2 linked regions of the Arabidopsis thaliana genome follow. The protein of the gene in region 1 interacts with the protein of each later gene in a pairwise test. Each region holds a gene or a part of one and is shown in the gene's direction. Other genes may lie near its edges. The genes, in order: AT1G66920 and CHX10.

Evidence for each region.
Region 2: the proteins of AT1G66920 (region 1) and CHX10 interact in a protein complementation assay, tested with the Arabidopsis thaliana proteins (one large-scale study listed by BioGRID).

The regions. Positions count from the first base shown.
Region 1 is NC_003070.9:24,958,657-24,974,945, reverse strand, and holds AT1G66920 (Protein kinase superfamily protein), read left to right. Parts: upstream 1-7,359; 5' UTR 7,360-7,513; coding exon 7,514-8,222; intron 8,223-8,299; coding exon 8,300-8,323; intron 8,324-8,415; coding exon 8,416-9,536; 3' UTR 9,537-9,812; downstream 9,813-16,289. Other genes in the region: AT1G66940 (kinase-like protein), read left to right, coding at 262-967, 1,127-1,216, 1,344-1,481, 1,594-1,745; AT1G66930 (Protein kinase superfamily protein), read right to left, coding at 1,877-3,033, 3,121-3,147, 3,251-3,271, 3,370-4,083, 4,234-4,966; AT1G66910 (Protein kinase superfamily protein), read left to right, coding at 11,005-11,815, 12,123-13,312; AT1G66900 (alpha/beta-Hydrolases superfamily protein), read right to left, coding at 13,691-13,882, 13,977-14,024, 14,100-14,336, 14,425-14,461, 15,090-15,394.
Region 2 is NC_003074.8:16,396,478-16,413,246, reverse strand, and holds CHX10 (cation/H+ exchanger 10), read left to right. Parts: upstream 1-8,422; 5' UTR 8,423-8,574; coding exon 8,575-8,787; intron 8,788-8,968; coding exon 8,969-9,994; intron 9,995-10,076; coding exon 10,077-11,189; 3' UTR 11,190-11,356; downstream 11,357-16,769. Other genes in the region: AT3G44935 (uncharacterized protein), read right to left, coding at 3,637-3,654, 3,930-4,244; CHX11 (cation/H+ exchanger 11), read left to right, coding at 13,522-13,734, 13,983-15,008, 15,097-16,209. UniProt on the Arabidopsis thaliana protein: May operate as a cation/H(+) antiporter.

The DNA.
Region 1 (16,289 bases):
TTTAGTGCTTATTAGAGAGACATTTCAAAATTTTAACTTGGAGAAAAAAACAAAGAAATTTCAAAAGTAAACTTGACATCATCACATGTCTACGCTTCTGTCTCCCCCACTTGACATGGTCCTCAGGACAGTCTCCCACTTGACATGGTCCTGAGGCTTCTTGTCTCTCTTTCTCTCTCTGTATCTCACTAATTCATTTACTCTGCTTCTCTCAACACAAACCAAACTAAGAAGACACATTTTTCATGAACCGAACTAATCATGTATCATCTTCCCACTTCTTGTCTAGTTATATTCTTCCTCCTCTCCTTATTTCACCCTCTTCCTTGTGATTCAAGTAATCAAGGACTTGGCTGGTGTGAGACTTTGTTTCAGTGCGGAAACATCACCGCTGGTTTCCCCTTCTCGGGTGGGAATCGTCATAAAGAATGCGGTCATCCATCGCTGGAGCTTCACTGCAACAAAAACAACATCACCTCTTTATTCATCTCAAACCAAAAGTACTCTGTTCTCCGTATAGATCAAACATCTAACACTCTTACACTTGCCAAACAGAACCTTCTAGGTTCTTTTTGCTCCTCTGTATTCACAAACACAACCTTGCCTCCCGAAACTTTCGAGCTTTCACGGACCTACAAGAGCGTCACTATATTCTACCAATGCTCCTCTGTGCTTCCTAACCTTTCTAGCTATACATGTCCTGAGATAGGTCCCATCTCAGTGTCTGAAAGCCCTGAAAAATATCCTGAGAGCTGTCGTTCCAGTTTCACCGTGAAGGTTCCCACGAGTTTCGATACAAAAGAGAAAGAGTTGAATGTGACCAATTTGGAAAGTGTTTTAAGAAAAGGATTTGAGGTGACGGTGGTGATCAATGAGAATACATGTCAGGAATGTTTATCCTCTCTTGGAAGATGTCATGTCTTCAACGAAAACTTAACACCAGGAGTTAAATGTCGTCCACCAAGTGGTAAGTTTCATACACTTATAGACATAAATTACTTACTAATGAGCTTAAGAGAAAAGGTGAGGACAAGGGATAAGCTTAACTTAGCATTACTCTTTTTCCTCTACTACTTTGTTTTCTTGCTTTTGACTTGTTCCACACCATACTTTTCAATGTGTGTAGACTCTGAGGGTTCTTGTGGATATAATCAGACCTCAAGTACGTTCCTCTGCTATTGTAAGGATCCGTATAGCCTATCATGCAGTTCGGGCAGTAAGATTTCTTTCATCGGTTCATTTACAGACACTCTCTTTAGTTTCATGATTTCGGTTTCACAGTTTCTGTGTTCATTCAGCGCTAACTGTTTTTCTTTTTTTTTTGCGCCATTTTATCGATACAGAATCTAATATTAGATGGATAATAGGTACCGTTAACCTTTCCTCTCTGAGTTTATTGTTCTTTAATCTTTGGTTTTATGCTGACAAATTTTACTTGTTTAATGGTTATACAGGTGGTGTGTTGATCTTGATACTCATAGGTTAGTTTTTTTTGCCTCGAGACTATTCAAAATGTTTTTTTTTATATTCTTAGATTATATATACAAAGTTACTAACCAAACATTTTCTCTGTTTTTCTGCATTGCTTTTTAGTATCAGGTATTATTGTTTCCTTGGTGTTTCTTTGCCTATGTTGCCGAGCCAAGATTGTCAGAAAGAAAAAATCATCAGATGCTCTTGAAGTCCCTCCTAGACCTATTAAAGAATCACCAACACTTTCAGAGGATATTAAAGCACGGACTTGATCTAAGAAGCCGCCGTGGAACTTTTGAATTGTGTTCTTGTATACTGATACTTGTTCTCTATTTGTTATGCAAATAATATTTACAGACATTAACTTTATAGGATCATTTCTCTAGAGTCTAGAGTATGACTTTCAAGACAATATTTTTTCACAAACTTGAAGATTCCTATTTTCAATCTCGGAGATGCTTGAACTTTCCTCAGTAATCCAAGAAGATTCAAGAAGAGGTCCTACATGAATTTGCTGCAAAACAGGTCTAGGTGGAACTTCAAGAGCATCCAAACTTCCTTCCATCATCTCTACAACTTTGTTCATCGGTGGACGATCTGATGGGGAAGACTGAATACACCACAAACCCACCAATGTCATCTTCTTTGCTATCTCCTCTTCCTCGCTGCTGATTCCAATCTCGATATGCTCAAGATCCCCATTGTCTGCCTTCTCAAGATCCTTATATATCCATTCTGGAAAGTACATTGAACTTCCGTTCGCAGAGTTTTGACCAAATCGTTCTTTCTTCCTTGCACCTATCATTTCGAAGACCAACATTCCGTAGCTATACACATCTGACTTGTGAGAAACACTCCCATAAACTCGAGAGATCATCTCTGGTGCAATGTATCCTATTGTACCTCTTGTATCCATCAATGACATGACACTCTCTTTCTTCTCGCATAGTTTAGCAAGTCCGAAATCAGAAACTTTCGGGGAAAGATTATCATCCAACAAAACGTTTTGAGGTTTAATGTCGAAATGCACAATCCTCGTTTTGCAGCCATAATGCAAGTACTCTAGACCACGAGCAACGCCTAGCGCGATCCCATACAGTGCCGTCAAGTCCAAAATCACTGAAGTCTTTTCCGAGATGAACTTATCGAGTGACCCATTCTCCAAAAATTCATATATAATAGCTCTTCTTGAACCTTCAGAGCAGAATCCAAGAAGAGAAACAATGTTGACATGAGATGTTTGGCTCATGCTAGAAACTTCATTTATAAAGTCTTCGCTATTATTACCCTTTGATTCTTTCAAGACCTTCACCGCAACCATACGGCCATCACAAAGAGTTCCTCTATAAACTATTCCAAACCCGCCTCTCCCAACCACTTCCGCAAATGACTTTGTCATTCTCTTTACTTGTGCATAAGTATAATGTTTGAGTGGAATAAGGGCCTTTAGCTTCTCTTGTCTCCGATCATCTGATGTTTTTCTATTCCGGAAAATTCGGACTTTGCAACAAGGGCACAATAATACAAGGAAAGCAATGAAACCTCCTATTGTACACAAAGCTGTCAAAAATAAAACAGAGAAACTCTGTTTTATTAGTAACTTTATTTGATTGAGCAAAAAGAAATATCTCTAGTTATTTAACTTACCTACGAAAATGCCGATGATAATAGCCACTGTAGAACAAATAAATAAGTAAAATTAGTCAGCATAAAATTTTGAAACGAACAAAGATTTGCTCCGAAGATTAAATCAGTTACTCCAAGAAAGGTTAAGTACCTATTCGATTCCCGATAATATCTGCAACAATCAAATGGTACCAAAAACAAAGTCAGTTAGAAATGAAAACAGAACTTTGTCCTTTGAAATTAAACTTAATAAGATGGAAGAGAACTTACCATCTAGGTTTATATCGCATTGGTTATCTTGCGGCCCATCTTTACAATAACATACAAACAAACTTGAGTTCTGATTATATCCACAAGAACCGCCAGACAAAACACACATAGAACAATTTGAGTTATCTTGAAGCTCAAAACCATGTTCAAGAGCCATCTTTAGATTGTTTGAATTTGGATTTGTCTGAAGTGTGTTTAACGCCGGTCCAGACGCAGGAACACTGACTTTTCTTTTGCACATTTCTCTTAAGTTGTTTAAAACTCCTCTAAACCTGTCAAGTAAAGGAGATGAGAGGTTTCTCGTTACATAGTAACTTCTTCCCTCATCACAACCAAGCTCTCCAAAGTAGCTACTAGGAAAAGGAGAAGTAGCAGATGAATTAAGTTGGCAGTCGTAATATAATGTTAGCAACTCTGTGTCAGCACTGAATTGAAGGACTGTTTCGATGAGAGGCTCATCATTTAGTGGGTTTGGGGGACAAAGATCGTTGAGATAGTCTGATCTGGCAAGTCTTTTGTTAGAAGAGTCATAACTCATATTTAAGATTCTGAAATTCACGGAGGCTATGTTAAGCTCTGCGAATCCTCCGCTACAGTCAAGCTTGAAGTCAGGGTGGCCACAATATTCTCGACCAGGTATCCAAAAGGGGTAATAGAGATTTCTCTGATTGCCGCAGCTAAACCGTTCACTACAGCGGCGCCTAAGCTCATCAGCTGAAACATAAAACAAAAATGGGATCACAAAGAGCATCATTTGACTTTAAGACAGAGAATTCGTCAACAACAGAGATAGCTTGATCATTTTGTTATACTCTTGTTTTGTTTCCTTGGAGGCCACTCAATAGGATTAGGTGAGAAACTTACCGCTAGGTTGATGTTGTGGTACGCAAGTAACTCCACCAGAAAGTGAGGTTACGTTGCAGCATATCTGTGTGGTACTGTTGAAACCACAGATTCCACGACTGGATGAACATTCTTGACACGGTATCTCATCGATCACCAGCTTCACTTCAAAACCTTTTCTTAGAGCACTTTCCAAATGGGTCAGATTCATCTCTTTCTCCTCTGGAACAAAACTAGTTGGAACGTTAACTTTGAAACTGTCTTGGCAGGAATTTTGGTAATCAAGGCTTTGAGACATAGAGAAAAGACCTAGATCAGGACATGTATAACTTGAGCGGTAAGATAGCTTTGGATCACAGTTATATAAAACGGTGAGGCTCTTATAAGTTGGGAATAGCTTAAAGATTTCGCGGGGGAAAGTTGGGGTATTGAATTCAGCGGAACAAAAAGAACCTAGAAGGTCTGTTCTAGCAAGTCTAAGAGTATTAGATGTTTGATCTATATGAAAAACGTTGTACTCATGGTTTGAGATGTTTAGAGAGGTGATGTTATTGAGGCAGCGAAGCTCCAGCAACGGATGACCGCAAGGTTTGGCACGATTCCCACCCCAGAAGGGAAAACCAGCAGTGTTGTTACCACACTGAAACAGAGCCTCACACCACCCTAGGTCTTCTTTACTTAGGGCCCAAGGAAGAGGGTGGAATAAGAATAAGAGGAAGAACAAGACCAGACAAGAAGTAGGCATATAGGACATGATTTGTGAACAGTGTGTCTCCTGCGTTTGGTTTGTGTTGAGCGGAGAGGAGCAATTGACTTTAGATAGAGAGCGTGAGAGAGAGAAGCATAGAGACAGGTGACATATACAAAAATACGAAGATCTTACTTTGATCACATTACTTTACCAGTAACAATGAAATAAAACAATTTTATTGGGAAGGAAAACTAATTTTATTTCAAATAGTAAATGCCAAGTGGATCATTAAAATGAGATCCAAACTCTTATTTATTTTTATTTTGTCAACTATCAAAACTCATCTCGTAGCTAACAAATAGTGTTTTAAATATTTTAAACAAGCAAACGTACAAAATACCCGTACTCAAAAATTCGAATCAAACTAAATTAGAAATATCTGATACGAACTGGTCTTAGAGGCCAGTATTACGGGCACCGAAACTTTTTGATCCAAACGGGTACTTAAAAAAAAAAATCTAATTAACCCATTTTTATCTAGTTTCGGGTACTTAGTTTACTTTTTGAGTACTTTAAATTCGTTTGGAAATTTTTTTTTGTACTGGAATATTTTGAGTAATTCATATATTTTTGGGTAGTTTGGATTTTGTTTACCGGGTTTAGAAACAATTCGAATAATTCAACTGTATTTTATTTATTTGAAATATAATGTTAAATTAAATCTAAAAGAAAAAAACAGTTTAACATCAAATACATAAGTTTTCCAAAGTCAATGGAAATCAAATAATTTTTTTGCAGAAAATAAAAATATTATTATTTAAAATAATAAATGTCAAGTGGATCCCTATAATGTGTTGTTTTTTTTTGTCAACGGTCAAAACCATTGTCGTAAGTCGTAACTAACAAATTAATGTGAATAGAACAAGCAACATTGTCGTAACTAATAAATTGATGTTAAAGAATTTAGAACAAGCAAAATTATCATGAATTGAACAAAATTTTCAACATTCTAGAAATTGATTTCTTAATTGTAAATTTAGATGTACTAATTAAATGTGACAATAATTAGCTGATATTTCAAAGAAAAAAAATATTTTAAGAAAAAACAAATGCCAAATAGACCAATGGGGTAAAATAAAAACTTTCTTTTACCCAAAAGTTAATAACTCAAATGTTTAGACTTTAGAATATACAAAAGCACTATCAAGCGTTAAACAAGTAACTCACCAGACTTTAACTTAGATGTACTAGTTACATGTGACAACAATTAGATGATGACATTTCTTGTGGGAACACATATTTTTTAAGAGAAAATGTCAAGTGTACCATGTGAGATCAAAGCCTCTCGTTTACCCAACAAATTAATGCTTCAGATATTTTATATTTAGAACATGCAAAAGCACAAGTATTAAAATAATAAGTCAACATTCAGAAACTTATTTCATTAATGTGGATTGATTTAATGAAGTAATTAATTACATATAAATATACTCATAGTTACATGATAGTTTGGAGAAACTATATTTTAATTTAGGAAACAAAATGCAAGTGGACCGATTGGGTGATATTAAAACCCTTATTTTTATCCAACAAAATAATGCTTCACTGATGACGAATCACTACTAAACCAGAGGAGTGTTTTCTTATTCTAAACTTTGTGTTCTTCTAAAAAAAATAAAAAATAAAGAACTCGTCATAGAGCTCATAACCGATTCGTACTCAAACCAGAGCTTGTTTCTAGAAACACTATTGGTCATAATATTGGAGACATCCTCAGTAATCAGTACAATGTCATCCGGTTTTATCATGACTGTAGATATACGTGTCTTGTTTGGTCTAATTTTCAAGAAAATAAGAACAAAAATGTTTCCTTTTTATTTTGCTCTATTCTATTTTTAAACCATCATCTTATTGTCATCCGAAAGACTAAACTAGAACAAAGAGAAGGAACAAATTCCTCAGTGCCACCAATGCTGCAACAGTTCACTGGAGTCAGAGACATGAGTCTCAAAACGTTTCTCGAACATAACTTCTTACCAGTTGTAGCTCTTGTCGACATCCCTCGGTTGGTTCCTGCACCTAAAAATTTACACGTTTTGAAATACATTTTAATTTTCATTCTAAGAAATGTATCAATTATAATTATTTCTTAACATTATTTATATTAGTTTAATGTTGTTACTGAATTATTAAATAAGAAACCCGTTTGGTAACACATCCTAATCTAGTATAATTGAAAGTGTGAACCTAAGTCTTTGACTGAACAAATTATTGACTTTTCCAATCTCCTATATTCTCTTTTGTCATCTTTAGAATAACGAAGACAAACAGATTTAGGAGATAAGAGATAGTATGGTAAAGCTTTATTGGCAAATCCCTCTCATTCCCACTGAAGACTTAACTCCACAATTTACTAAAACCAAAATCTAAAGAAAATAATTGAGAAACACCATTTTTAGGGTCAACTAATATAGACGTGATAAAAAAAAAGACTCCAAATCTCTCTGTATCTGTCACTATCATTCCTTGACTTAGGGTGCTCCTTTCCGATATCTCTCTCTTTTTGCTACATCTCACCACAAGACACATTGTTCATAGATCAAACCGATCATGTACTATCTCCCCAGTTCTTGTTTGGTCTTGTTCCTCTTCTTCTCTTTATTTTACCATCTTCCTTGTGCTTCAAGTAAACAAACACTTGGATGGTGCGAATCTCAGTTTCAGTGTGGAAACATCACTGCCGGTTTTCCCTTCTGGGGAGGGAATCGTCCCGAAGTTTGCGGTCATCCATTGCTGGAGCTTCACTGCCTTGATAACATCACCTCTTTAACCATCTCAGACCATTTGTACCATGTTCTTAGTATAAATCATACATATAACACTCTAAGAGTTGCCAGAACAGACTTTTTACAGTCCATTTGCCTCTCTCCATTCCCATTCGCCAACGCGACTTTGCCACCAGAAATATTCGATATTTTGCCAACCTACAAGAGCGTCACACTCTACCGTTGCTACCCTGTTATTCCTGACCTTGCAAGGTACGGATGTCCTGCGATAGGTTCGGTCTCAGTGTCTGACAACCTTGAAAATCCTGTTAGCTGCGAAGCCCGTTTCACCGTGAACATTCCTACGAGTTTCGTTCCAAACGAGAAAAGGTTGAATATAACAAGTTTGGTAAGGGATGTAAGAAATGGATTTGAGGTGAGGTTGAGAATCGATGAAAATTCGTGTCAAGAATGTTCATCTTCTCATAAATATTGCGGCTTTACCGGAACCTTACCATTAGAAACTAAATGCCGGCCACTCAATCTACCAACTCGTAAGTATCTTAATCCTTTCATATCCATTTTCTTTAACAACTTTATACTGAAATGAAACTGAAAATCATTATTGTAGGCTTGTCTTCTGAAGCGAAAATAGGTGTTTTACCTTCTCCTATTCTTTCAAATAAACTTAATTTGGTTATGAATACTGTTTTTGATCTTTTTAACCAAACAATTTTGTGGTTTCAGCTACAATAGCAGGTGTTTCTCTACTTCCATTCTTGGTCTTAACATTGGTTGTCCATATTATCCGAAAGCAAAAAACTTCAAATGATAAGGGTCAACAAGACCTCAAGGAACATATTCCAAAACCAAGAATCAAAGCACTTATTCAACTGAAGCAATATAGCTACGAACAAGTGAAGAGAATTACAAACTCATTCGCAGAAGTGGTGGGGCGAGGCGGATTCGGAATTGTCTATAGGGGAACCCTTTCTGATGGCCGTATGGTTGCAGTGAAGGTTTTGAAAGACTTAAAAGGTAATAATGGTGAAGACTTTATCAATGAAGTTGCAAGCATGAGCCAAACTTCACATGTCAACATTGTTACCCTCCTAGGATTCTGCTCTGAAGGTTACAAGAGAGCAATTATTTACGAATTTATGGAAAACGGGTCTCTTGATAAGTTCATCTCAAGCAAGAAGTCATCAACTATGGACTGGAGGGAACTATATGGGATCGCGTTAGGCGTTGCTCGTGGTCTAGAGTACTTACACCATGGTTGCAGAACAAGGATTGTACATTTCGACATAAAACCACAGAATGTACTCTTAGATGACAATCTTTCCCCGAAAGTATCAGACTTTGGCCTTGCTAAGCTATGCGAGAGGAAAGAAAGTATCTTGTCACTAATGGACACAAGAGGAACGATAGGGTACATTGCACCTGAAGTGTTTTCGAGAGTGTACGGTAGCGTCTCCCACAAGTCAGATGTGTATAGCTATGGAATGTTGGTTCTTGATATAATAGGAGCTAGGAACAAAACATCAACCGAGGACACTACATCTAGCACAAGCTCAATGTACTTTCCCGAATGGATATATAAGGATCTTGAGAAGGGAGACAATGGAAGGCTTATCGTGAATAGAAGCGAAGAAGATGAGATAGCAAAGAAGATGACGTTGGTAGGTTTGTGGTGTATTCAGCCTTGGCCATTAGATCGCCCGGCGATGAACAGAGTGGTAGAGATGATGGAAGGAAACCTGGATGCTCTTGAAGTGCCTCCTAGGCCTGTTTTGCAATGCTCTGTAGTGCCTCATCTCGATTCTTCCTGGATTTCAGAGGAAAATTCAATCTCCTCTGAGATATGATTTTCTCTGTAAACTGTAACTCGCAAGCTTTTAGCTTATGAGTAAATCTCTGTCGTTTGAACGTAAATTTTCTTTGCATAAAAAAGAATAGAACACATTTGTTGAATTTTCTAAGGTCAGTAAGTCATAGACGGTATTTAATGCATGAACAAAAACAGGTTTTGGTTAGGAGAAAGTGTGGTCTATGTTTACAAATAAGTCCTTCCATTCCCACTCAAGATTTAGTTCCATGTTTTGCCTCAACTTCCTAGAAAATTCTTACAAATTAAACTGACTCGTCTTTGATAACTCTAATTTTCTGTATTATTACTATTCGGAAAAACTAAAGAAACTAACTTTTGATTTGTAGATATTACAGATACTATATATCATTAGGAATATAGAATGAGAATTAGATTAGAAATGATATAGTTGTTTCGAGAAGGAAGGTAGTGATATCATCCATACTCAGAAGGAAGCAACATACTCGTTTTGGTTTTAATCTGGACCTATTTATTTCTTCAATTTTTAGATCACTATCAAGTTTTTAAATGTACTTATTTTTCATGAGGGGACTCAAATGGACTATGCATATATCAATCAAAAACATTCTTAGTTTATGTAATTATCATTTTATTTTTCTTAAAGTATGTGATATTCCTATATACCATTTCTCAGATTTTCTTAAAGAGAACATGTAATTTATCTTTCAGTTGATGGAAAACAATGACATTCCCCGTGATCTGCAATTGGCAATTCCTTGGATTGTATGGGGCATTTGGAAAAAACAGGAATGAATTTTAATTTGATGGTAACTTGGTAAGCAAGGTGGCCTGAACCTTCTTATGGAGACATCAGACTTTTGGAATAAACAAGAATGCAATGTCTTCTCAGTTTATGAGGAGAGGGTCTGTTGGTGGTATTTCTAAAGAGACCGTAGTTGTCAGAGAAGACCGTTATGCACGGTAATTTTGTAGAGTGATCGGGGACAATCTGTGGTCATGAGTTAGAAGTTGGCCAGGAACAAACTAACAAGTGTGTTAGGGTTGTGTAAGACCGATTAAGTGTAATCTTTGCGGAAAGGAGCAGTATATATATCAGGACGTATGGTTGTGTTTGTTCTCCTGTTACTGAGCTTAGAAAGAGTTCTAACTTAACTGATTTGAAAATTGGCATGAACTAGTCACAAATTGAATTTTCATCTTCGATATCAGTTAGTTTCAATAGTGAATGACGGTCTTTGCCTTTTTTCACACTCCAATATTTTCTGTAATATCTTTAGATTCTCATTAGTTTTCAGAAATAACTTAGTATCTGAAACTAATAAGGACTCCAAAAAAGTCTCTTTGTATATGTCACTGTCCTTCCTTGACTTTGGGTCAACTAACTTTCCTTGACTTGATCCTTTTCGACCTTCACCATGGCCACTTGCTTCTTATCGATTTATCTCTTCTTCACCATCTTTTTTTTATCATTCACCTGCAACACGATGATCAATTTTTCTCTTTCTCTGACCAAATCTATGTCCTATAGCTTCATATGGATGCTCTTTGTGATCCATATATCTTGTGTTTTATCAGCCGATGGGAATCACATACTCTGCAGTCCCTCGTTTACTTGTGGTAATCAGAGAGGTCTCTTGTACCCTTTCTGGATTGCTGGCAGAAAAGAATGCGGTCACCCTGACTTCGAGCTTGACTGTAACGCAGGAGTCCCAGAGCTTAGCATTTCTTCTGTCAAATTTAGAATCCTAGGTGCGGATTATGACTCTGGTATCATAACACTCGCCAGATCCGATAATATCGACGATCCGTGTCTCCCAAATTCCTTCACTACGTCATTCAACGAAACCGTCCTTCCACTTGCTTCTACCACCGACCTGCTAACCATTTATTACGACTGCAACCGAAACGTTTCATCGTTTGTTTCTACTTTTGTTAAAGAGCTTGATTGTCCAGATGATGGGACTGATGATAGAAGAAATTATTATCTGACGAGAAACCTCACGTTCCTTCCGCCGTCCCTTAAACTTGAAGGGAATAGTTTCCTTTTAAACGACTTTGGGGGATCTTGCAGTAGAAACGTCAGTAATCCCGCTTCTAGAACCGCGCTGAACACACTGGAGAGTACTCCAAGTACAGATAATCTAAAGATTGCACTTGAAGATGGTTTCGCGCTTGAAGTTAACTCAGATTGCCGGACGTGCATAGACTCTAAGGGTGCTTGTGGATTTAGTCAAACCTCAAGTAGATTCGTCTGCTATTATAGGCAAGAGCCACAAAACCCTACTAGAAACAAGGGTATTATTTCCTACATGTTCTAATTTCCTAATGGTTCTTCCACAAGAATCACCACTAGTCCCTTCCCTAAATCGACTTTTTGATTGGATCATCTACAGAAAATTCTCTTAGTTTCTGATAACTATATACAGAAACTCCTTCGAGTTTCAAGTTTTTCATTTCCAGTAAGATTCACAGGTATGTATTTAGTTCGAATACTAACCTTTTTTTCTGGTGCCATTCCACAGATACAAGCCTCTCTACTGGAGCAAAAGCAGGTGCTTAACCTATTTCTAATTTGAATACCTTGTTGAAGGGGTTGTTGAAGTAATATTAAAACTATTTTTTATCGTTATTTATGTCTTAGGCATTGGGGCTGCTTCCTTTGCAATGATGGGCGTAATTCTTGTAGTCACATGTTTGAACTGTCTCATCAGACGGCAAAGAAAGACATTGAATGATCCAAGAATGAGGACATCAGATGATTCAAGACAACAGAATCTAAAGGCCCTTATTCCACTGAAACACTATAGCTACGCGCAAGTAACGAGTATAACGAAGTCATTCGCCGAAGTGATTGGAAAAGGCGGATTTGGAACTGTTTATAGAGGAACACTTTATGACGGTCGTAGTGTTGCTGTGAAAGTCTTAAAAGAGTCGCAGGGTAATGGTGAAGACTTCATCAATGAAGTTGCAAGCATGAGCCAAACTTCGCATGTCAACATTGTTACCCTCCTAGGATTCTGCTCTGAAGGTTACAAGAGAGCAATTATTTACGAATTTATGGAAAACGGGTCTCTTGATAAGTTCATCTCAAGCAAGAAGTCATCAACTATGGACTGGAGGGAACTATATGGGATCGCGTTAGGCGTTGCTCGTGGTCTAGAGTACTTACACCATGGTTGCAGAACAAGGATTGTACATTTCGACATAAAACCACAGAATGTACTCTTAGATGACAATCTTTCCCCGAAAGTTTCAGACTTTGGCCTTGCTAAGCTATGCGAGAGGAAAGAAAGTATCTTGTCACTAATGGACACAAGAGGAACGATAGGGTACATTGCACCCGAAGTGTTTTCAAGAGTGTACGGTAGAGTCTCCCACAAGTCAGATGTGTATAGCTATGGAATGTTGGTTCTTGATATAATAGGAGCTAGGAACAAAACATCAACCGAGGACACTACATCAAGCACAAGCTCAATGTACTTTCCCGAATGGATATATAGGGATCTTGAAAAGGCACACAATGGAAAGAGTATCGAGACTGCAATCAGTAACGAAGAAGATGAGATAGCAAAGAAGATGACGTTGGTAGGTTTGTGGTGTATTCAGCCTTGGCCATTAGATCGCCCAGCAATGAATAGAGTCGTAGAGATGATGGAAGGAAACCTGGATGCTCTTGAAGTCCCTCCTAGGCCTGTTTTGCAGCAAATCCCCACAGCAACTCTTCAAGAATCTTCTACTTTTTCAGAGGATATCTCGGCATACACAGAAATATGCTCCATAAATGTTGCATAAAGAAAGAAACCCTCTTTGGAGCCTATTAAAGCCAAAAAAAGTAGCCAATACATTTATTTATTTTTACAGCTTTCTCTGGCATGTTATAGAATCATAAAAGTATGATCCATGAATGTGAAATAAACAAAGTAACCTCTTTGGAACCTACTAAAGCATGAAAGCAGAAAATACATTTATTCACGAAATGTACTATACTGTTTACATTCCAGATTGACCCATTGTGTCACCAGACTAGACCTTTTTTTATCTTTTAATGACTAAACCTATTACCACTCTCATCTTGAATCTCTCAGGCTTATTACTTTCTTTTGAACTTTCTGTAGCCAACTGTCTAGCCTTCTCTGAAAATAACCCATTTCAAACATATCAGCTATCTCGCTATGTGGGAGCTTGCTCTGCTTGTTTGTTGCCAAGTGATACAACAAATTTCTTCAGATGTCTGATGAAATCTGGATAGAGTTCAAGGTCACAGTGTCCACCTCCACTTATCCACAAAGGTTCATACTTCTCTTTGCTGAGTTCCCAGAGCCGTTTTCCGTGAGACCAATCAACTACTTCATCCGCAGTACCCTAATAGACCAACAAGAGAGTTCAGTGACCTGTCTTATAACAATCACACTCAAAGCCAAAGCAATGCAAGAAGTCAGATGATGGTGTCACTTACATGGATTACTAATACAGGACAGGTAACTGAGCCGATCTTGTCAATATTCTGAAAAACATGAAATTGCGCCATTTTAGAAGCTATATATGTAATCAGAAGCAAATTTGATGTTTAGTAAATCACCTTGTAAATGTCAAACCAATATGTACATTTCACAGGATACAAAACCCTCATCCCAGACAGGATAGGACACTGTAAAACCACGCCTCTTAAGTTAGGTGTGCGTGAAGCTAGATCAACCGTAGGTCCACTACCAACAGATTGACCATATACTATCAGTTGATCGTCTTTTACACCGTACTTTTCCTTGAGGCATTTATATGATGCCTCTATATCAGCATATGTATTACACTCGCTAGCCTGATTCATATACCAAGTCTATATCAATGAGAAACAATCCATGAAAGTTCATATTTCATAACACAGAGTAGTAATCTCGAAACTACACCTGTCCAGTAGACTGACCATAACCAGAGTAATCATACCTGAGAAAGAAAAACCGATGAACACATTAGAAAACAATCTAACAGTCACTAATATATGAGAAACAATTTATCAACGGTGACGAAAGCAAGATAGCAAGTCATAGAAGACCTTTAGATGGAAATGAATCAATCACGAAAGGAAAGTTGAAATGTTAAGTCACACATTATAACAAAATGTAACAACAGATCCTAGTTTTGGCAATGACAAGCATAGGGAAAGTGTGACTGATATGGATTAATTGCCTCAGGTTAAAGGCACAAACTTTGAAACTATAACACACTGTTTGTTTTACATGGATTGATTCTTCTAACAACATATTACTATAAGACCACAAAAACCAATTCTACTTAAATTCTCAAAAACTTATCCTTTACTAAAAAACCTAAAACACGAACAATTCATTACATGTCTATAACAATGTATCAACAGATCCTAGTTTTGGGGCAAATTATAAACAAAGAAAAGTCTTAGTTTTTCGATGAAAATGTCTCAACTTTGAAGCTCTAAAGCACTGATCTTTACAAAGCAAAGCAAAGTAGTAATCTTTCTACAAAATGTCTGAACTTCGAAGCTGTAACAAACCAATTATGCATAATGTCTTAAGATTCAATAACATAAATGTTTTACCCCATAAGATTGACGCGAAGGCGATTGCTAAGCTCAACGAAAAGCTCAAACATTTGACCCAAATCAGCAGCGTTACCATGAGAATACAAAAGCGTGCCATTAGCTTTTGAATGTTTCACATAAACAGCAACGATCTCATTACCACAACGAGTACGAAGCTTCAATATATCAACATCATCACGGCGAGGAATCTCCGGTATGTATAAACGTCCACCGCAGCTATCGTCGGCTATAACCTCATACGACGGTGGCGTTGGTGGAAAGAAAGCAAATTTAGCAGCGATCGATGATGTAACACCTCCCATGATGATGAATTCTAATTCATAAATTAGATACCTTTTGATCGAAGTAATTGAAACCCTATAGTTAAATTTGGATTTTGTGAGATCTTGATGAATAAACGAGAAGAGGGGATGGAGAAATTGATGGAGGATTTGAAATCGGACCGCGGCGCGTGAGAGATTAGAGGCGGCGCGTGGTTTGGATGATTGAGGGAAATGGGAGAGAATATCTGGTTTTTGTCAAAAGGTTTTAAAAGTCAAAAATTAGGAAATGATTTTATTGGTGGATGGAGATTCCCCATGCTGCGATTGTTTTAGTTATTTATCGTTAAAAAAACATAAATAATAATTCGTTTAATTAACAAAACAATATAAGTTGGTGATTTGAGTTTAGATGAATTTTTAAGTCAATGAATGAGAAGAATTTTTGTATGTAAGCAAAAGAAGAATTAAGAATCTTAAATTTGAATATTTTGAAATTATTTAACAATTAAATTTGAATACATTGTTGGCAAAAATAATAAATATAATTTACTTTTTAATGATAATGAGTAGAAAGTAAGGTATTCAAATCTTATTCTTAACATAAAAGTATTCATTAATCATATGGTTACTGAAAAATTAGAGACTTTTTTAAGGTATACTATTTTATTTTATTTTTTGAAAAAAATTCAAGGCAAATAAGTTTGTAAATTAATAGAAAGTAAACTATTCGACGTCAAAATAATTATATTAACAAATGTAAAATTTATCATGGATTTTCACAATTGAGGTAGAATATTGTTCAATAGCAAACACAACATCCGACTCAATTGAGGAATATTCTCTGCTTACAAAATTTGGTATTTGATTTGACAATGAAGAAGCCATTTATGATTTACCTCTTCACAAATCTAGTGTTTCATTCTTGGACGAAACA
Region 2 (16,769 bases), on another chromosome or scaffold:
ATCCTAAATTCCTCAACCCAAAAAACCAAACCCAAATATAGGCTAATATTTATTCGAATATCAAAATTTTACCGAAAACTCAAAGATTTACCTGAAATCTGGGTATTTACCCAAAAATTCGGGGATATCGGTTCTAAAAATGACCTTAAAATCTATACTTGAACCAATCCGAATCCGATTGGAACCAAACAGAAACCGAACCGAGATTGAAATTTATCTTATTGTGTCCTAAACTTTTCTACCCGAAAGACCCATATCCAATCAAATTTTATTAAAATCCGACCCGCGTACCCGGATGCCCATCTCTACTAAAAGTCTAAAAGACTTAAGAGGTCTATGGTTTGGAGGTGTTTAATTAATTTTGGGAACTTCGAGGTATATTCATAACTAAAAGTTTTTTTAAGGTATTTTAATGCAATATTATATTTCAATGGGAGATGGGTGGGAAGTGGTAACCGGAAAGTCGATGGGTAAGCCAACAACCGGAAAGGATTTGATGTGTTCTTTTGGAACCCCTGTGGGTCCTGAAGATCTTAAATCGGATTTCTGTCTTTGTGCTAAATATTATTGCATGGACCTCCTAACTTTTTTTTTTATTCAAGTTTCTCCAATTTCCTTTAACAAAAAAAAAAAAAATGTTTCTCCAATTTGGTCATTTAACGGATTCATCCAAAATTCAGTTCAGATTTTTTTTTTTTTTTGTCATCAGATTCAGAATTTTATCTAAAAATTATGGTATCAAGGAATCTAATTTATTGAAGTCGTACTCAAATACGGATATAAATCAACTATCGTTTGGATTCGTTATATAAATGTAACTCGTTTCGTTCACTAGAAACAAATCTTTTGTGATGGTAAATTGGCACATACATAGTTTTAGAACAACAATATATATAATGTGTTTTTTTTTCCGATAATTTCTTCGATGTTTAACTTAGTAAATAAAATGCGGAATTTGGTTCGAAATGGGACAAAAAATTGTGATTTGAATCTTACTAACTGATGTGGAGGGAAATTTTGTTCAAGTTGCTTCTCCTTTCACTTTTGTTTTCATTACATAGATAGATTAGATAAATTTGGAAAGGCTAAATGTACAAAAATATATGAAAATATAATCTGAATACGATAATCACTCATAATAAGAGAGTATATAATTAGTGAGAGATTGAAGAGTAAGTAACGTAAGTGTTAAGACGGTCATAAGTAACATCATAAGTATTACGACGGTCATTTAACTTGTGCTATAAATATAGCATTAATATATATACTTAAACTCAAACACTTACTCTTCCGTATGCAATTTAATAAATGTATTTTCATGTAATGTGCTATAATTGTAGCATTCATATATATAATAAAAACTCAAAAACTTACTATTCCGTATGCAATTTAATAATATATTTTCATGTACTCGTTATGAAATATTACTAGAAATTGACCGCGGTATACCGCGGGATGATTTTTTCTTTACAATTTTAGAATTTTTTATTTTAATTAATATTATTTTTATTTAAATAACATAATCAAGATGTATAATTTGAATGTACATAATTTATTTCATAAATTACGTATTATGCTATGTTGTTTGTTGTATATTTGAGTCTTTATGTAATTATATATGGTAAATAATTTGTTTGTTTGGGTATTTTATTTGGGGTATTGAATATTTGAATTTTGTTTTGTTTGTGTGATATTTGTTTGAAATTGAAAGTTTTGGATTTTACAAGTTTGGTATGCAGTATATATACGATTACCCCGCCTTACATCGCAAGATTTTTTTTTATATGTTTTATATAATTTACTAAATAATATAATAATGGATATATTAATTTTTTAGATTTGTTTAGTTTTGTAGAAAAATATAGAGATATTTATAATTTTATGTGCTAGATCTATATACAAATTATTATTTTCATTTGAAATTTAATCAATCAAAATTAGTTGTTGTGAATGTAAACATTTTGTTGTTATGTATAATACTTTGTGGTTCATATAATAATTATGGATATTTAAACTTTATCCACAAATATTAAATTAGTTGCTTTTATGTATTATTTAGTAAACAATTGCCTTATATAAGAGCAAGAAATTTTGTGAGTGTTTTTAGACAAATCCGTAAAATTTTGACTTATGGTCATTTTTAGTTAGCTAGGTTTAGACCCTTAGATTAATTCTTCTTTACATATAGTATTAGATCTTGATCCGCACATACGTGTGGGATTTCTTATTTTAACATATGTGTTAGATAAAATTTAGTATCTATATTTTTTAAAATAGTAGTATTAGTAATTACAGAATTTGTTTTCTGTTTTTTAGTGAATTGGATAATAGTATAGATATGAATTATAAAAAGTAATTGTAAAATATTATTTTGTGTTTTCAAATGAATACTTGAAACAATTTTGTTGTCTGTTTGTTGAATTACACATTTGAACAGAAAGATAAGTGTTAGCATATGTTACATATGAAGTAGTATCTAGTTCGTTTCATGGCTCATTAATTGCTATTTTTTTCCATCTTGTCGGAGCTCGTGAGCTCTCAATATTGCACAGACATGGTGTTTTTGAGGCTTCACTTTCTTAGTATTTTTAAGCTATTCGTTTTCAATGTCTCTTCTTCTCAACAACAAAAGTACCAGGTGATTGTTTACTTTACTTTTACAAAATTACATACTTAAACTCACGGAGATATATATGAAATCATTTGGGATTGACTTTTTTCCGCTATTATTATTATAACTTTTTTTAATCTAGGATTAACGATGGAGAACTATCCATCAAATGGATCATATGTAAGTATTCTATCTTAGTTTTGGTTATTTTTGTTGTCTAAGCACTCTAAAATTTTCTCCAACTGATAACATAGAACTTTCATTCTTTAAACCGAGAGTTAGACACTTTATTTATTAAGCATAACAATGCTATCAGAATTAAAACAACACAAAGGCAAATAGGGATATAAAGAATACAAAACAAAAGAAATTGCCAAGAACAACCTAAAAATCAAAAACCAATAAATTTAGGTGTTGATTTTATCCCTTTCTTTCTCTTTGGTATTATCATATGTAATTTCCTTCTCATTAGTCTTCTCATCCTAAATGTTCTTATTCTTCATTTCTTAGTCCGATGCTTTTTGCTTTTGTGCTTAGTTGCCTCAACAATATCCCTTTTTTTACTTGTAGATAATATTATAGATCAAAGTAGACGTTGTAGCTTTATAGATCCGAGTGTTTATCCGATACCAAGCCCAAGACCCGCATTCTTTTTAGTTGCCAATTTTCCACTTTATCCTTCGACGATTTTTTTCTAAAATGCAAAAGTACCAATGGTATTTTTTTATAATATATTATTCTTTATAAGATTATATTATATCGAATGATTCCTAATTAATAATATAGATTGTTACATAGTAACAATTCTTTTATAGGAGACTAAAATATATAACATGACATATCTTTTTTAATTAACCCAACGTATCATTTGTGGAGGTTAAAACGTAAGAAATAAAAATACATATATTATAATAAAATTATACAATATTCTTAGCTTATTTCTCTGTTTTCTATCCATTTTGACATCAATTGCTCAAATATTTTTAAAAACTTGGAAGATGAGATCAAATAAAAAAATTAGAATCCTACATCTTTTTCTTACCCTGCAAGAAATCAAACAAAAATAATTAAAGATCTTAGATGTTATATTTGTTAAAATCAAAATCAGAATGCAAAACATACATAGAAAACATTAAACATGAAACTTTATAAAAAACATATATAATAAGGAAAAAAACAGAACTCTCACCTTACTCTCTAAAAGAAAATAATTACCATAAAAATTTGGGAAAAGAATTATGTCAACGTTTTCTAACTGATCTCATTTTTCAAAATTATGTTTTGGTGTCAAAACTATTATAATACATGGAAAGTATACCTTTATAAAAAACAATATCATGAAATGCAAGAATTCAAGAGTCCTTTGTGGTTTGCAGGCTATCGTCCATGCTTCTAGATGATACTTGAAGGTGTGACCGCTGAGACGAATTCTGTTGTTGACCATCTCCAGAAACAACTGGTGTGCATTCTCAGCAAAGTGTTTTCCATACACCGAGATCATGGTGTTATATATCACTCTTCCTTTCGTTTTGGAAGATCTGAATATATTCTCTATTAACTCTAGCGATCGTCCCTCTGCTAAATAGAGCATCATGACTTTGCAAAGGCTCATTTCATCCTCTAGCATATCCATCTTCATTGCTAAACCGTGGAGTTGTGTGCTCTTGGGATGATAACGTATGTCATGAGCATAGTCATTACCCAATAATATGGATACCACAGATCTTTACTCGCCAATACAGAGTAAGAGTGTAAGGTCCACATTGCACATCATCAACTTCTCCAATCACTGCTCCAAGAGAGGGAGCTCGAAACTCGTTTTGATGCTAGCGGCTTAGAAGAAATGACGGAGTAGCAACATCCACCAAGTCTTGTACATACCGAGCTTGAGTAATGCCATATTTGATGTCGCTCTCCCAAGTAGAAACAATTTCCTGAATTTTCTATGAGAAATTTTGTAAGAAAAGATCATTATTCAGTTACCAAATTAAGATTGAGAATATAAGATGTATGCAAGAAAACAAGAAAATTTGAAATGCATTGGGTTTGGGAAGAGCCATTGAGTTTTATGTTCTGTATACTCATCCGTTTAAATCCGGTTTTCATGGCTAGGAAGCAAAAACCACTAAAACCGATTAGATTCGTAAATACTTTGTACGAAAAATGACCTTTATAAATTAACATTCGATAAATTAATAATCACTATAAATTAATTATTTTCCGATCTCGAGTCAGATCAAGGTAATATTTAACATAATTTGATAAAATGATAATTTGTTTGAAAATCCAATGTAACTATATAGTCTAATAATATCATAGATTAATATAAACTTATCAAACATCGGAATTCTGATTACAAAAAGAACAAAAGTTTAGTTGTTATTAATTATCAAAAATTTAGACGAAGGTATACTAGTTTTGTAATCCCATTATTAATAGTCTACTAGATATTGACCCGCGGTACACTGCGGGCGTATATATTCATTGAAAAGTTATAAATATTTTTATAAGTATTATTATTTGTATATGAATAATATATTCAAAATTCTATAATTTTTATCGCTTGTGTTATTCATGTTTTATGTTATGATATTTGCTGAATATTAGTTTATTATGCTAAAATTCAGTATTTTTTGTTTACGAATTGAGTTTTTTTTAGAAGTAATAATGATTTAAAACTTGTATTATCTAGGAAAAGTCATATATGTAGTTTGATATTTACCATATATCTGAAGTGAGAATTTTATTTGAAATGAATGCACATTGTTGAGTATGAAAACTTTCTATAAAAAATTTGTGGCGTTGGAGTTATGTGATTCAAAAAAAGTTATGATAAGTTTCTATAACAATTTAAGTGTCTTTGGAGTGAATTCAACTAATTAATGCAATTAACTAATTGTAAATTTTTAGTTATAAATTATTTGTTTGAGATTATATTTGTAAGGACTAATATTGAAAATAATAAATAGTTGAGGGATTTTTGGTCAAAAAGTCTATAATAATGTATACGTAGATATTTAAAGGGAAAAGTTAAGAGTGATTATATATATAGACCTTATTCTCTCTATTAATTGGTCTTTTCCTTAATTAAAGCAAAAGTCCAATACTTGGTGTTGCTTACAAATTCTTTCAAGACTATAAAATTACTTATTCTTTCTTTTTTTCAGACAAGAAAAATTTCGATTGTACGAGAAAATCTTGTTTTTTTTTCTTTTCTTTTGAAGCTTTACAAAGTCATGATTATGCTTATTCCTTTTTTATTGATTTGACACTTAGTTACGGGAAAATAAAATTAACGAGACTTACTAAAAGGGAAAATTATACAAATATACACATTTGTTTTTATAAAATAAGTTTATAAATATTAGAGAAATCGATATGGGGGTTCATTGTTGGTTTTTATAAAACTGGAAGGAACACCATTTTTTTTATTTTGTATACAAACCAGTTTCAGTTGAAGAATATACTCGAAATTCCTGAAAACAAGATTTGGTATGGATAGGGATAGAAAAAGTTAAACGTTATGAACACTAATTGAAACTGCATACTCAAGTTAACCATTACAATGTTAGTCTCTTTTACAATGTTCATATTGCAGTCCTTGTCTTCCAAGCAACATATAGTTTTTTGACAGTTCAGTTGCGTCCTCTAACTCTACCACGCAATGGTTACATTCTCATTATATTCCTCCATCATATAGTTCGGAATCAAGTCAAATGTCCGAAACCTGAAATTCGAAAACTCCAAGCTAGCATTCTCCACAAATGGCTTCAACAGTAATCAGCGGATAAGATTCATGTTCTATAGCAGAAGAATTTAAGATTCTATAGTCTAAACCATGTAGCTTATGATGGTTTAAAATATGTGAAAGAAGATTATGCTTTTATAACAGTTTATGAAATTAAGTTCACTTTTAATAAGTTATCTCAATTTTCATTGTATTTTACTTAGAGCTCAGAAGTTTGGTAAAATGTCGAAAAATACGAGTGAATAACGGTTGACTAACACCTTTATCGAGAAGGGCGATTTATGCATCAAAATATAAGTTGAGGGAGGTTTCTTAAACAAATTAAGGCGTTTGGAGAAGAAATTACCATGATCATTTCTGAGAGTTCTTTCTCGAATTTAAATTTTTTTTAATATAAAATATATTTGCGTTTAGTTTTGAAATAATAAGTATAAAAATATTCACCAAAAACAAAATAAGTATAAAAATTGTAGAATTAAAAGTGTATAGCAAGAATTAGTAAAAGTGGATAAATACAGATTAATGGTTAAGAAAAAATGTGAACTTGGCACATAAAAATTAAAATTTCTCTTTTTCAAGATCTAGATTGAAAGAAATTTTGAAAGATAACTTCGATAAAACGACCATAGATCCACAAACCCTTATATAATTCCGCATTTTTGTCTCCAGATATTATCTTCGATTGGAAATTCTCTGTTGCGTCTAGATCTTGTCCTCAATTTCATCATCTTGCTCTATTATCATGAATCTCACATCTTGTCCACCAATTAATCTGTATTTATTCAGTGGTAGATTTTGAAAGATTCTCATTTGAAATCAGCCTTTGAGCAAATCAAACGATTATATATTATTATTTTTGGTGTATTTTATTGTTAAAACATTTTCCAAAAATTTTACCATTTCTCACCATTAAAACAATAAAAAATACAACATTTTTTTGTATGTTTAATATTTGTAATATAATTTAACTTGAATACTGATTTTAATTATTTCATATTTCAGATGTTTTTAGTAATTGAGGTAATGAAAGGTAATAAGCACCAGAAATTTCAGATAAACTTTTGACCACCAGCCATATTAAACATTTTAATTATGGTTTGAATCTTTCCTCACTTTTTTGCGTATGTACGTCTAAACTAGATTTTAACCCGCGGTATACCACGGGAACAATTTATTTTTTAAAGTTAGTATATATATAAAAGTTTACAAATTATATCTATCTATAAAATAATTTTATTTTATAGTTTACAAATATTATTAAGTAACGTCCTGCCAAACCCGTCCTGTAAAAAAAACCATTTATTTTATTAATGTTGATCTTATTTATGATATGTTTATGAATCATTGTCTAAATATTTTGTAATTTTGTAGTAATTAAATGCTATCAGATTATATCTCTGCGCTTTGATGATTATAATCGAATTGTTATAGTTATGGAGAAAAGCAATATCAAAAATGATAATTTTGTAGTAATTAAATGATATTAAATATTTTAGAAGTATTATTTTAGTAAATAATCATGTAGTTAATATGAAGAGATTTTGGGAAGATTGTTAAATGTCAAATATTTAATTCGAAGATTTTCTTTTTAATTATCAAAAACAAACATTAAAATCCAGTGGCAACCATTGTAAATAAATCCGAACTACAGGATTTATTTCACAAAATGGTTGCAAAAATGTATATATAGATCTATCGGATTAATTGTATATCGGATTTTAGGGTGGTCACTAATTTTATAAGTATTATTAGATCGGAAAAAATATTATCAAGGGAAGGAAAGAAAAAAAATTGTAAACTTAGATTGAAGCAGTTGGAAAATATTTCTAGACTATAAACTTGGGTCCCCAAACAGAAACTTTGAGCTAATTTTGGCTCAAACCTCCAAGCTTGCAATTTTATTTAGCAAAGCAAATTCTTCATGTTCTAGATTTTACGTTTTTGAACAAACAAAATGGAAAAAAAAAACAGTTACTCTCTGGATATATATATTTTTTTTTTCTAAATTGGAAAGTTACATTTGTTCCAGAGAGATTATGACAGCTATTTACCAAAGACCAGACAAAAACAACACAAAAAACTAACAAGACTCTTTTCAAAACCCAAATTCAAAGAATGAACACTTTTTTTTCTTCTTTTCCAGAGACTTAAACTTTATAACACAAAAAAAAAGCATTTTCATCCCCAAGTTTTGCTAAGTTATTGGCTTATATTCATGAACACGACTACTTACATTGGGGATTGTCGAATATCATTCTTCAACATATCTTCCCAGGGATTTTGGGATAACCTAAAATCGCCTGATGTGGTTTTCGGCTACTCGCTGCCTCTCCTAGAGATTCAGATAATACTGATATTCTTCTGCATTGTCATGTCTCATATGTTCCTCAGATGCATCGGCATTTCCCAAATCGCTTCATATATGATTGTAAGCAAGTTTTCCATATCTAACTTGGCAAGCACACAAGATATTTCCAATTATTAGAACTACAAAAGTAGATGTAACTTGACAAGCACGTAAATTGTTTAAGGGACAAAGAAGATCATGCATGCGTGCTATTGAAGATATTTTTCAGAAACTGAAATCATATATATAAATTTATGTGCAGGCTGGAATAGTTCTAGGGCCTCAGCTTTTTGATGTACTAGAGAAATCTTCAGGGAAACTATCCGTGGATCCTGCGTTGGATGGAATCGCAGCGTTAAGATGCATCTCGGTGTTTGGAACACTAATGTTTACGTTTCTAATGACTGTTAGAACCAGCAGGCGAGTGGCGTTCCATAGCGGAAAATTGCCCGTTGTGATCGGGATCGTGTCCTTCTTTGCTCCTCTGTTTGGTCTCGGTTTCCAGAATTTTTTTTCTGACAACATCGACCCTCACTACATGCCTCTAACTAAAGCCCTAGGTGAGCGCACTGCGATTGTCATAACTCAATCTTCGATACTTTTGCCTTCCACTACATATATCTTGCTAGAGCTCAAGATCATCAACTCCGAGCTAGGTCGCCTTGCATTGTCTGCATGTGTCATCAACGACATCTTGGGGATTTTTTCCATGATAGTTGCCTCTATACAAGCGACCTACATTCATGTTTCACATGCAACAGCCTATCGTGACACTGTCGCGGTGATCATCTTTTTTCTCGTCGTCTTTCTTGTTTTTAAGCCTATGGTGCAATGGGTCATAGACCGCACACCGGAAGACAAGCCAGTGGAGGATATGTACATTCATGCCGTGATTATTACCGCATTGGCTTCCGCTGCTTATTTTGTGTTTTTCAACATGAAATATATTTTAGGACCATTAATGATTGGCATCATCATACCAGAGGGTCCACCATTAGGATCGGCTCTAGAGGCTAAGTTTGAGAGGCTCACAATGAACGTGTTCTTACCAATCTCAATCACATTCAGCGCGATGAGATGTGATGGAGCAAGGATCCTTAGCCAGTTCAATGACATCTTCTTCAACATCTTCCTAACATTTCTTATACTTGTCATAAAACTGGTCGCATGCCTTGCACCTTGCTTGTACTACAAGTTACCTCTCAGTGAATCCTTGGCTGTTTCCTTCATCTTGAGCTACAAAAGTTTTGCTGATTTTGTTCTCTATGAAGCTGTATTAGACGACACGGTAACCTCCTAACTCGCAAATAGTCGATTATTGGTATCATTTGCCATTAATCTAAACATTTTTTTATGGTTTGGTTTTGCAGTACATATCGCAAGCCACTTACTCGTTCTTAATCTTATATTCGCTACTAAATGCCGGGATTGTCCCTACTGTCTTAAGGAGGATGTACGATCCAAGAAGAAAGTACGTTAATTACCAGAAAAGGGACATATTGCATCTAGAACGAAACTCAGATCTTCGAATTCTAACTTGTTTGCACAAACCAGAAAACGTCTCAGAGACCATAGCATTCCTACAATTGTTGTCCTCACCGAACCTAGACTTCCCTATCGCGGTTACAGTTCTCCACCTTGTGAAGCTCGTTGGTCAGATAAACCCTATCATAGTCTCACACGACAAGAAATTGAAACGGCTTAACAAAGACTCATACATCCATACCGCAAACCTTGCCTTTAGACAATTCGTGTTAGAAAGCTTAGAGTCTGTAACCGTGACAACGTTCACTGCGTTCTCGCATGAAAACTTGATGCACGAAGACATTTGTACACTTGCACTTGACAAAACAACATCGATGATTGTCGTCCCATCGGGGAGGAAATGGACTGTAGATGGGTTATTCGAGTCTGACAACACTGCTATAAGACATCTAAACCAGTCGTTACTCGATCGTGCGCCTTGTTCTATCGGCATACTAGTAGACCGTGGACAATTCTCGCGAAAAAGTATTGTAACGAGCAAAAAAAGGTACATCATTGATGTTGGTGTGCTCTTCATTGGAGGCAAAGACGATAGGGAAGCACTATCATTGGTGAAGAGGATGAAAAATAACCCGAGGATCCGTGTAACCGTGATCCGACTCGTCTTCGACCATGAAATAGAGTCAGATTGGGATTATATTCTTGATAACGAAGGCTTAAAGGATTTGAAGAGTACTGAAGACAACAAAGATATTGATTATATAGAGAGGATTGTGACTAGTAGTGTTGAGGTAGTCAAAGCTGTCCAATTGCTTGCAGAAGAGTACGATCTAATGGTGGTCGGGAGAGATCATGATATGACATCACAAGACTTATCAGGACTAATGGAATGGGTCGAACTACCAGAGTTAGGTGTCATCGGGGATTTGCTGGCGGCTAGAGATCTAAGCTCTAAGGTTTCGGTTTTAGTAGTTCAACAACAACAACAACGAACGTGACATGTTTTGACCGCAAGACTGTGTGTATTCATTTAGGGCAAACTTTTAGAAAATTTTAAGATGTATAAATAGTCATTCATTTGTTTAAATATAATATGCGTATATATTCATACAAATTTTTTTACATTATATACAAATTAAACATACTTAGAATCCATAAGAAGGAATAACCATAAACTTTGATTCAGATTGTTATACTTCCTCCAGCTCAACTCTGTGTTTCTCAATCCGTCCTTTCACTCTTTCACTCTTTCACTAGCTTCTGGTATTCTTAGAACATTAGGTTGCCCAAAGCTGACACTGGTCTGTAAAGTCGAAGCGACTCCATGTTTATCTTCAAGAAAGAAACATGTTTCTTCAACTGCAAGAAACATTGTCTAAGAAGAAACCCTTTGAAAATATTAAAAACATTACCAGTTCTAGTTGGGAGAAAGTTTCTGAATTTGGGGTTTTATATTATATCTTTTGTTAGTCTTTGGAAATCTATCTGTTCATTTCCAATTTAATCTTCGGTTGCTTTGTTTCTTCCTTACTCTTCTCTTTTCTCCACTCCTCTAATATCACAGTGGTCTTGATATGATCAACAAAATTAAATTACAACCAAATGTAGCTTAATGTATATCTGCTTTCTCTAAGGGTTAATAATATCTCAAATCGAGTTTAAGGAAGAAGTATTAAAGACATTGAGCCTATCGATGGAGAAAGCAGGGTTCAAGATTCGATAAAGAAACCTAACTTGTTCTTTGGGGCCGACAAGTTTAACGGCCTCAAGTCATGTCTTAGATTTTACAAAGAAACCTAACTTGTTCGACAAGATATGTTTTTCAAGTTCAGGATCTGAGATACATACCCTTGGCTCTGTTCCGATCCAGTAAAGAAATTATGAAGTCTCTCCTAATAATATACAACATAGATAACTTGTGTGTTACACTGTTACGCATTATCCTCAAATAAAATCATATAGAGACATCAATTGTTGATAATGAGGCAAAATCAAAAATATCATAGGAGCTGGGATCAGGAGTCGAAAGATGAGATTCTCTCTCCATCTTCTATATCTCGCTAAGGTTTCTGTTCAAAGTTTGATAGTCATCCTTTTAACCCACTTAATAATCTCTTAGAAAACAAGCAGCCCTAACTTGAGCCACAATACAACGTCTAGGGTTCATCCGTCTTCACGCAACCCCAATATGCCTCTACAGCTCTACTCATCCTTCTAACCCACTTAATAATCTCTTAGAAAACAAGCAACCCTAACTTGGGCCACAATTCAACGTCTAGGATTCATCCGTCTTCAATATGCCTCTACTCCCTTGCCGATCCAGTCGTGGGCCTCGTGGCCATCTAGAGTCTAGACACACAAATGCATTAAATTTGAAAAGAAAAATCACACAAAAAGACATCCATTAGAAAATCAAACACATCACGTTATTGTGCACAGCACATTGACATATATATCTGTCTGTGCCTTCCTCTTTCGCATATGATTGACGTCTCCTTCTCATCTCATTCACATCTTCGTAGGTTCAGATTGAGATTGATCTAAAGATCTAAACCTAAGCAAAAGGATTCCAAATCAGCTCAACTTAGTTGCGACTCGAGGAGCTACGAGAAGAACTCGGTTTCCTTCTCGGCTGCTGGCTTCTTGTCTTCTTCTTCTTCTCCTGTTCTCATTTTCTCTTCTTCTTCTTTCTCGAAGCTTATGTACTAGCTCCATTTTCTCCCCATTTTCATTTTCATTTTCGTTCTTCACCTATTCAAATATGGTTTAAATCTTTCCTCACTTTTTTCGCATGCACGTCTAAATTTATCATAGTGTAGTACATCAGATTTTAGGGTGGTCACTAATTTTAGAAGTATTATTAGACCAAAATAATTATACTTATAAGTATTATCCAGGGAAGGAAAAAACATTAATTATAAACTTATATAGATCATATATTGAAGCAGTTAGAAAATATTTCTAGACTAAATTTATGTGTAATCGGATTTTAAGCTATAGACCTAAACTTGGGTCCCTGAACAGACACTTTGTGCTAATTTTGGAGCAGTGTATCAAACCTCAAAACTTGCAATTTTTTATTTAGCAAAGCAAATTCTCCATGAAAGAACCAACTATTTTTTTTTTCCTCTCTGTGGTATTTGTTTTCTAAATTGGAAAGTTCCATTAGTTCCAGAGAGATCATGACAAATACTTACCAAAGACCAGACAAAAACATCACAATAAACTAACACGACTTCTTTCAAAACCCAAATTCAAAGACTTGAAACTTTATCACACAAAGACGGTATTTTCATCCCCAAGTTTTGCTAATTTCTTGGACTTATATTCATGAACACGACTACTTACATTGGGCATTGCCGGATATCATTCTTCAACATATCTTCTCAGGGATTTTGGGAGAACCTAAAATCGCCTGATGTGGTTTTCGGGTACTCGTTGCCTCTCCTGGAGATTCAAATAATATTGATATTCTTCTGCATTGTCATGTCTCATATGTTCCTCAGATGCATCGGCGTTTCCCAGATCGTTTCATATATGATTGTAAGCAGCTTTCCATATTTAACTTGACAAACACATAAGAGAAAAGTAGAACTACAAAAATAAAGATTTTTTGCATGGGAAAAAACATGTATCTAAAAGATACAAAAGTTAAGATTTGTATCTATTAGAACTACAAAAGTAGACATGTAACTTGACATGCACGTAAATTGTTTAAGGCGCATAGAAGATAATGCGTGCATGAAGATAGTTTTCCAAAAATAACATACTATATATAAATTTATGTGCAGGCTGGACTAATTCTAGGGCCTCAGCTTTTCGATATACTAGAGAAGTCTTCAGGAAAACTATCGGCGGATCCTGCGTTGGATGGAACCGCAGCGTTAAGATGCATTTCAGTATTTGGAAGACTAATGTTTACGTTTCTAATGACTGTTAGGACCAGCAGGCGGGTGGCGTTCCATAGCGGAAAATTGCCAGTTGTGATCGGGATCGTGTCCTTCTTTGCTCCTTTGTTTAGTCTCAGTTTCCTGAACCTTTTCACTGACAACATCGACCCTCACTACATGTCTTTAGACAAAGCCCTGGCCGAGCGCACTGTGATTGTCATAACTCAGTCTCAGATACTTTTGCCTTCCACTACATATATATTGCTAGAGCTCAAGATCATCAACTCCGAGCTTGGTCGCCTTGCATTATCTGCAAGTGCCATCAACGACATGTTGGGGATTTTTGCCATGATAGTCGCCACTACACAAGCAACCTACATTCATGTTTCACATGCAATAGCTTACCGTGACCTTGTCGCGGTGATCATCTTCTTTCTCATCGTCTTTTTTGTTTTTAAGCCGATGGTGCAATGGATCATAGACCGCACACCCGAAGACAAGCCCGTGGAGGATATATACATTCATGCCGTGATTCTGACAGCATTTGCTTCCGCGGCTTATTTTGTGTTTTTCAACATGAAATACGTCTTAGGACCATTAATTATCGGCATCATCATACCAGAGGGTCCACCGTTAGGATCCGCTCTGGAGGCTAAGTTTGAGAGGCTCACGATGAACGTGTTCTTACCAATCTCAATCACATTCAGCGCGATGAGATGTGATGGACTAAGGATCCTTAGCCAGTTCACTGACATCTACTTCAACATCTTCCTAACATTGCTTATACTTGTCATAAAACTGGTTGCTTGCCTTACACTTTGCTTGTACTACAAGTTACCTCGCAGTGAATCCTTGGCTGTTTCCCTCATCTTAAGCTACAAAAGTTTTGTTGAATTCGTTCTCTATGAAGCTGTATTAGAAGAAAAGGTAACCTCCTAACCCACAAACGAGTCTATTATTGTTATTATTGATTTTGCCGTAAATCTAAACATGTTTTTATGGTTTGATTTTGCAGTTCATATCACAGGCCACTTACGCGTTCTTAATCCTATATTCGCTACTAAGTGCAGGGATTGTCCCTATGGTCGTAAGGAGCATGTACGATCCGAAACGAAAGTACGTTAATTATCAGAAAAGGGACATATTGCATCTAGAAGCAAACTCAGGTCTTCGAATTCTAACTTGTTTGCACAAACCAGAAAACGTCTCGGAGACCATAGCATTCCTCCAATTGTTTTCCTCACCGATACATGACTTCCCTATCGCGGTCACAGTTCTCCACCTTGTGAAGCTAGTTGGTCAGATCAACCCTATCATAGTGTCACACGACAAGAAGTTGAAGCGGCTTCACAAAAACTCGTACATCCATACCGCAAATCTTGCCTTTAGACAGTTCATGCAAGAAAGCTTAGAGTCTGTAACCGTGACTACGTTCACCGCGTTCTCGCATGAAAACTTGATGCACGAAGACATATGTACACTTGCACTTGATCGAACAACATCGATGATTGTCGTCCCATCGGGGAGGAAATGGACCGTAGATGGGATGTTCGAGTCTGACGACCTTGCTGCAAGACAACTAAACCAGTCATTACTCGATCGTGCGCCTTGTTCGATAGGCATACTAGTAGATCGTGGACAATTCTCGCGGAAAAGCTATGTAACGAGCAAGAATAGGTACAACATTGATGTTGGTGTGCTCTTCATTGGAGGCAAAGACGATAGGGAGGCACTATCATTGGTGAAGAGGATGAAATATAACCCGCGGGTCCGTGTAACCGTGATCCGACTCATCTTCGACCATGAAATAGAGTCAGAGTGGGACTATATTCTTGATAACGAGGGCCTGAAGGATTTAAAGAGTACTGAATCCAATGAAGATATTCTTTATACAGAGAGGATTGTGACTAGTGTCGTTGAGGTAGTCAAAGCTGTCCAATTGCTTGCAGAAGAGTACGATCTAATGGTGGTCGGGAGAGATCATGATATGACATCACAAGACTTATCAGGACTAACGGAATGGGTCGAACTACCAGAGTTAGGTGTCATCGGGGATTTGCTGGCGGCTAGAGATCTAAACTCTAAGGTCTCGGTTTTAGTAGTTCAACAACAACAACAACAAACGTGACATGTTTTGACCGTAAGACTATGCGTTCTTTTAGGACTAACCTTTAGAAAATTTTAACATGTATAAATAGTCATTCATTTGTCTAAATATAATATCCATACAAATCTCTTGGAATATCGGCATCGCTAAATTCCAGTTATACAATGGCGGCCACGCGAACAATAACACCACAATGATCAGTCCTAAAATAGTCAAAACGACTCTTAACCTCACATGCATTACATGATTTTTTCTCTTTGGCCGCACGTTTAACAAAGACTATGAAACCCTTATGTAATTAAAATACACATCTCCACACACATATATCTTCTAAATGAATTAAAAAGCATCTAATTGATTTTTCCTTAAGTTTTCAAAACTTCAAAAGATCCCTTTAAAACAAAAAAAAAATTGTTGTGGATCTTAATTCTGATTCAACTTTAAGTGACCGGTTTAGGTGTTGTGGTTAAGAGGAATTGAGGACCGGTTAGATGGAGTGTTTTAAACCGGATTGAAGAGGCTAAAGGAAACCTTCTTTTCGCGAGAGAGGGTCTTCTGTTTCTATTTGGGAATTAGTATAA